Linked DNA regions of Caenorhabditis elegans. The protein of the gene in region 1 purifies or fractionates together with the protein of each later gene. This does not show direct contact. Each region holds a gene or a part of one and is shown in the gene's direction. Other genes may lie near its edges.

Evidence for each region.
Region 2: the proteins of dph-5 (region 1) and rml-4 fractionate together in Caenorhabditis elegans (co-fractionation; one large-scale study listed by BioGRID). This does not show direct contact.

Annotation. Positions count from the first base shown.
Region 1 is NC_003280.10:11,348,145-11,351,901, forward strand, and holds dph-5 (diphthine methyl ester synthase), read left to right. Parts: upstream 1-2,047; coding exon 2,048-2,121; intron 2,122-2,167; coding exon 2,168-2,414; intron 2,415-2,576; coding exon 2,577-3,080; 3' UTR 3,081-3,229; downstream 3,230-3,757. Other genes in the region: pigm-1 (GPI alpha-1,4-mannosyltransferase I, catalytic subunit), read left to right, coding at 348-398, 449-520, 569-1,129, 1,181-1,540, 1,593-1,802.
Region 2 is NC_003280.10:4,292,959-4,296,715, forward strand, and holds the start of rml-4 (dTDP-D-glucose 4,6-dehydratase), read left to right. Parts: upstream 1-2,142; 5' UTR 2,143-2,143; coding exon 2,144-2,383; exon of another isoform or gene 2,384-2,638; intron 2,639-2,777; coding exon 2,778-3,662; intron 3,663-3,757.

The DNA of each region.
Region 1 (3,757 bases):
GAAAACGCATGACTTGTTTGTCTAGAATAGGATTACATGTAATATGCAGCGCGTTTTTAGACCCGTTTTACTCGATTCTTGCTAATTTTTTCCGGGAAAACATAATGAAGATTAACAAATAATTCTTTCAAAACATATAAGATTAGTAAAAAATGAATAAAAGCGAGATATCTAAAGAAAGAAAGAAGCAATTAAAATTGCGACAAGTTTGCCCGAAAATAACTAATTTTCAAGTTCCCTCCGTTGAAAATTTGCGCTAGAGCACACTTGCATTTTTCAATTTTTAACAAATTCTTTGTTGGTTTTTAGCATTTATATATTCGAATATATTCCAGTTTTCTCCACAAATGCAATGTGTCCGGAGTTTTGTGAAGAACGAAACGTTCAATCGAAATAAGGTAATTTGTCTATTTTCAACGAATTCATCGAATTAATGATGTTCTTCCAGATTTTACTAGTGGCATTCGTGGCAAGGATAATTCTCGTTTTCTACGCACACATTCACGATTATCTATTCAAGGTTTGATAATTTTACATCATCAAAATAAGTTTAAACTCAGTGTTTCAGGTGAATTTCACAGACATCGACTATCACGTGTTCTCCGACGCTGCCAAACATGTCTCAAACGGTGGAAGCCCATTCGACAGAGCCACTTACCGATATACGCCTGCGCTAGCATGGATTCTTTTGCCTGTTGTGCATTTCCCGGACTTTGGAAAGATTCTCTTCTGCATTTTCGACATCCTGGTGGCGATTCTGTATTTTAAAATAATGGAGAAAGATTTAAACGAAACAAAAAGCGAAACACGAGAAGAAATGAAAGATGATCAAACAATGAATGTCGTGATTTACTGGCTTGCGAATCCACTGACCGCTATCATCTCAGCCAGAGGAAATGCAGAATCTATTGTTGCTGCAGTCGTGCTTCTGAATATTGTGCTACTTCAAAAAGGATACTGGAAATCTGCAGCTCTAGTTCACGGCGCCCTTGCGATCCAATTGAAGATTTATCCATTGATTTATCTCCCATCAGTTTTTCTGAGTCTTTCAACAATTGGAGAACAAAGTTGTGTTGTGAACAAGTTTAAAAGTTTGGTTTCTAACTGGAAAGGCTTCGCATATATGCTGGTAAGTTATTTTTCTTAAAAACATGGAATTCTCAATGTTAAAAAGATTTAGGTAACTCTCACATCATTCGCAGCGGTGGTACTATTCTTCTTCCAAATCTACGGACAACTATTCCTCGATGAATATCTGATCTACCACGTCAAAAGAAGAGATCTCGCCCATAACTTCTCGCCGTACTTCTACCTATTGTACCTGTATGAAGCGAATCCGACAATGTCACAGATCATCGGCCTCGGAGCATTCATTCCACAAATTGTGCTGATCGTGTTCTTCGCCTTCAAGCATTACGATGATCTTCCCTTCTGCTGGTTTATCACCACCTTCGCATTTGTTACATATAACAAAGTGTGCACAAGTCAGTACTTTGTCTGGTACATTGTTCTTCTACCTTTACTCGCTCATAAAATTATGGTAAATTATTATTTTTAAAACTAGTTTTTTCCTAAATTCCACCTTTTTCCAGATGTCCCGACAACTAGCGTTATCTCTAATGGCCGCGTGGTTCGCAACACAAGGAATCTGGCTTCTCGCTGCGTATTTATTCGAATTCCAAGGATGGAATACATTCTTTTTGATGTTCCTGGCCTCCTGCCTGTTTTTGATTGCAAATTCATTTATTCTCAAACAAATTATCAATCATTATGTACCAATAGTCAAGCCAAAAACCGATTGATCTCATTCTGTAAAATGATATTTATGTTCACTTAAAGCTTTAGTCGCCTTTTTCATATGGGTAATTACTTGTATTTATTTTTAAAATTAATAAATTTTATTGCATTTTTTATTGCTCCATCATTTCTGGAACCTTATATTATCGGTTATTATCTCATCCGATAACTGATTTTCTTTTATTTATTAATTGTATTGATATCAGCTGATAATTAGTTATGAACTGCAATTTAAAAAAAAAAACTTCAGATGGTATTTTATTTGATTGGTTTGGGACTTGGAGACGTTGAAGACATCACTGTCAAAGGATTAAATATTGTCAAGTATTTATAAAATATAATTAATGCAAAATTAAATATTTTTATTCAGAAACTGTGCTCGCGTTCATCTAGAAGCCTACACAAGCATTTTATGCTATGGATTGGACAAAACAAATCTCGAAAAGTTCTACGGAAGAGAGATCATTGAAGCCGATCGGACAGTCGTCGAGCAGGAGTCTGATGCGATTTTAAATGGAGCCGATAAGGAAGACGTAGCTCTACTTGTCGTTGGAGACCCGTTCGGAGCAACTACACATGCGGATCTGGTGTTGCGTGCTAAGCAACAGAATATTCCGGTGATTTGAGGAAGCTAAATTTGATTCCAGTCACGGAACGTGCAAAACATAAACTAAAAAACTAGAAACTTCCTTTAAACTTTCATATAACTTGAATTTTTTGTGTGTTCAAAATATTAAGAGGTTTTTTTTAAAAATAAATTAAAACTTCCTTCGTTTCAGGTCAAAGTGATTCACAATGCTTCCATCATGAATGCAGTTGGCTGTTGTGGACTACAACTCTACAATTTCGGAGAAACAGTTTCAATTGTAATGTGGACTGACGAGTGGCAGCCGGAGAGCTATTACGATAAAATCGCGTTGAATCGTAAACGTGGAATGCACACTTTATGCCTGCTGGATATCAAAACCAAAGAGCAAACTGTCGAAAATATGATGCGTGGGCGGAAGATCTTCGAGCCAGCCAGGTATCAAAAGTGCTCCGAAGCGGCTCGACAACTGCTGACCATTTATGAGAGACGAAAAGCCAAGGGAGAAGAGTGTGCCTATGATGAGAACACGATGGTTGTCGGCTTGGCAAGAGTTGGATGGGACAATCAGAAGATCGTATACGCGAGTATGAAAGATATGAGTGAGATGGAGATGGGCGAACCTCTACATTCACTGATTATTCCTGGTGAAACCCATCCTTTGGAAGTCGACATGTTGGAAACTTTCAGGCCATAATTCCCCAAAATTGTTCCTTTTTTTGTTCTTATTCTTGTTCTGTTGTCTGTTGCTAATTACTTTTTCCACATTTTTTCAAACTTTTTTTGTTTAGTTTTTCGTTTTTTTTTTTTTTCATTTTGTTAGTCTCAAAAAAATTAATCTTCATTTCAAACTTTTTCCCACACACCGCGATTTTTTAATCCTCTTCCAATTTATCCGTATCCAGTTTCGCCTTCAAACTTTTGACCCTGGGAATGGAGGAAGAAAGCAAAAAAAAAAATGGCAGTACAACTAGAGGTCATCCGTCAACTGGGGATTACCGGAAGAAGTCGTTGCACATTTCTCACTTTTTAAATTTTCCTGCTATTAAAATTGCATTCCTATTTAGATAGTATTTTTAATAGGAATTTTCCAGAAGATCGACGACAATATTCTATTGAGTTAGCAAAGCAAAGCGGAAAAAACTAGTGAGCCACGAGAAGGCGGAGCTGTAATTGAGAACACCAAAACCTGACACGACGAAAAAGAGACTAGTAACATAAATAGTCAAAACAAGTTTTTTCTCCCTGTGCTCCGTGAGTACCTCAATCATGATTCGCGCAACGTCCTGCACAGCTCTTTTTTCCGGCCTGGAGAGGGTGGAGTTTCGAAGGTTGCTGCTCCAGGCCCTGCTCACACACACATGTCTTCCCTCT
Region 2 (3,757 bases), 7.1 Mb from region 1:
CAAAAACACTTCAAATTTACGGCAAGAAATCAGTCAGAAACTTGAAATCTCGAGGGTTACGGTAGCCCCAAAAGTACGCAAAATGCGAATACCGTAACCTGTCACACCGAATTTCACGCAATTTTGAGCTAAAGCTCATTGTCTTCTACATTGTCTTCATATAAAAATATCATTAAAAAAAAAACCACAAGATTCTGTATTTGCAGATTTCCACAGCTACAGTAACCCGGAGAAAGAAAACTCAAAAAGTGAAGCTTTTCGACTTAAACTCTCAAGTTCACTTTATTTTTTTGAGAGAGCTTCCGCGAATGCGAATTAACCACCTCAACAGCTGCTCAACGGAAAGTTTAAAGCTTGATGTTCGTCATAATAATGAGCAACAGCTGTGCGGAGAGCACAAATCAGAGGGAAAAACCGAAAATTCGAAAAATTCCAAGACTCCATATCAAACGAGTTGATAGAAGAAGTCGGTGGGAAAATATTCGAACGAAAAGTAGGGGAAAATGATGGAAAAATAATATGTTTACTTTTCGCCTCTGCGCCATTTTCCATCAAAAAATGGCTTTGCTGAACCATTAAATGGCAGGAGAGAGAGCAGGGGGAGAAAAGAGAGCAGCAGCAAACAGAAACCCGAGAATTCAAGAGTCTCTAGGTTCCCAATTTCATTTTGTGAGAAGAGTTCAGCAGAAGAAATACATGATCAGCTGGTGGTGCTAATTAGAAGGACGGGGTACTCTCTCTCTGTGAGGTGTCACTTTTAGTTGGAAATTTCCAACAAAAAAACTGACAAGGGAAAGGACAAACTTCTATCAAAATTCAGTGACATTTGATTTATATGAAAATCGAGTTATTTTCTAGTTTAAAAAAATTGGGAGAACGCTCCAAATTCAACTTTCAGACAATTTTTGAGCGTTCTCCCTATTGTTTTAACTAGAAGAAACGGCAATTTTCAAATGAATCCTATGTTTTTTCTATAATCTATCACTGAATTCTAATGAAAAATATTGTAGAATTTCTGGCCGGCAATTGCCAAAAACCGAGTTTTATGGGTTGGGCACACTGTAATTGGCCTGTAATTTGGGTGAGAATTTCACAATTTTTTGTTGATGCACCGGAAGGAGAATGATTCACACTTTACTGATGGACTGTACATCTGATCATCACTTGGAGAGACCGAAATGTTCACTTTTTTTGTGTTTTTTGTTCGATTGCACCATGTGTTTTCCAATAAAAATTAGTGTAAAAATATGGAAAAATCAAGTAATTTTCTATATTTTGACACTAATTTTTAGTCTAACAACATGGTGCAATCGACCAATTTCATCAATTTTCCACGTTTCTCCCCCACCAGATACGCCGTTCAATCGATTTCCCATAGCCCTCTCAAATGACCTTAACCTAGTCTCCGTTTCTTCTATATCAATATTCGAAATCTCTGATTCCCGTGGAAAAATCTTTATCTATCTATCTTCTCCTAGATGTATACATGTTTCTGTATGGTCAAGTCCTCCACTTTTTGTTGGATTTTTGGGATTTGAACAGCTTTTTGCTTTGAATTTTTTGTCTTGTAGGCTAAAAAATCTTGAAAATTTATAAAATTGAAATACCATTTTTGATAGTTAATTGAAATAAGTCAAAAAAAAATATTTTTTCCGAAATTTTTACCCAAAAGCTTTGCCAAACGTTTTATTGTGCTATTTTTCAAAATTTTAGCCTTCAAAACGAAATTTTTTCAAACTAATACTAGTGAAAAAGGAGAATTTTGCAATTTTTGTTGTCGAAATCCCGCATTTTATTACTCATTTGCGAAATTTTGCGCTAAAACTACGGTACCTGGTTTCGACACGACAATTGTTAAATACAAACGGATATGCGCCTTTAAAGAGTAGTGTAGTTTTCAACTTTTGTTGTTGCGGATTTTTTCAAAATCGATTTTTCATTGTTTTTTTCTTTGAAAATATATATCAAAAATTATGAAAAATCGATTTAAAAATAATACCACAGCAACGAAAGTTTAGAAAATACAGTACTTTTTAAAGGCGCACACTCGTCTGTAGCTTACAAAAAAAATTGTCGTTTCGAGACCGGGTACCGTATTTCTTGCGCGACGAAATTACTCGATAATTCTCAACTGAATTCCAGGATGGTCTATACCCCGAAAAACGTGGTTATCACCGGCGGATGTGGCTTCATCGGTTCGAACTTTGTCAACTACATTCACGATGCTTGGCCGACGTGTAATTTTGTGAACATCGACAAGCTCATTCTGAACAGTGACACTCAGAATGTGGCAGAGTCGGTGAGAAATTCCCCACGGTACAAGTTGGTACTCACTGATATCAAGAATGAGGCGGCGATTCTCAACGTTTTTGAGCAGAATGAGGTATGGATTGGAGAGCTTCTTCTAAATGAGACCTGTGCTCATTTGAAAGAGCACATTTTGGATAGGTCACTATAAAAAATTTAGCAAGCACTTTGAACTAGAAAAATGTCTCCAGATGTGGATTTTTGCCAGCTTTTGATGATTTTCAGAGTTTAGAGGTGGACAAACATTCTGAAAGCTTTTTGGAATTTTTAAGAAATTTCCAAAAAGTATTCAGAACGTTTACCTACCTCTAAACAGCCAAAAAATCATCGAAAGCTGGCAAAAATCCACAGTTGGAGAAATTTTTTTTCTAGTTCAAGGTGCTCCCCAGCTCCTAAATTTTTTGTAGTTACCAATCTAAACGATCCTATTTCATATGACACAATGACCATCTTTAAATGCTAAAATTCAGATCGATACCGTAATCCATTTCGCCGCTGACTGTACTTCTACTCGGTGCTACAATGAGACCGCTGAAGCCGTTCAGAACAATGTTCTATCGTTCATCCAATTCTTGGAAACTGTTAGAACCTACGGAAAGATCAAACGATTCGTTCACATCAGTACAGACGAGGTTTACGGGGACTCTGATCTCTCGGAGAATGAACAAGGAAAAGTGGAATTCTCTCGACTTGTTCCAGGAAATCCGTATGCTGCCACTAAAATCGCCGGAGAGGCCTACGTCCGTGCCTACCAAACTCAGTACAACCTTCCAATTGTGACTGCCCGGATGAACAATATCTATGGGCCAAACCAGTGGGATGTCAAGGTGGTTCCAAGATTTATTGAGATTGCAAAGGTCCGTGGGGAATACACAATTCAAGGAAGCGGCAAGCAACTTCGCTCTTGGCTTTTTGTGGACGATGCTAGTGCAGGATTGAAGGCAGTTTGTGAGAAAGGAGAACTCCACGAGATTTACAATTTGGGGACTTATTACGAGAAAAATGTTGCTGATCTAGCGAAAACGATTCAAGAAGAAGTTGATCTACAACTCGGAAGAGCCCACGAGCCACCAAAATACAAATCGATTCCCGATCGTCCGTACAATGATCTTCGCTATTTGATAAGTATCGAGAAGGCGAAAAATGATCTCGGCTGGGAGCCAACGACCTCGTTTGATGATGGAATGCGTCACACTGTTGCGTCGGCACTTAAGGAACATAAACATGTGAAGATGCACGTGGCAATCTATGGAGGAAAGGGATATGTTGGTCAGGAGTTGCAGCACGTGCTCAATGATAGACACATTCCATACGTGTTGGCAACGAAAAAAGTCGGATTTGATAGTGATGAAGAGGTAGGAGGAGAGGATGGAAAAATGTGGTTTTGCTGAATTGAAAATTTCCGGCAAATCGGCAAAACTGAACATTTCCGGCAAAACGGCAAATTGTC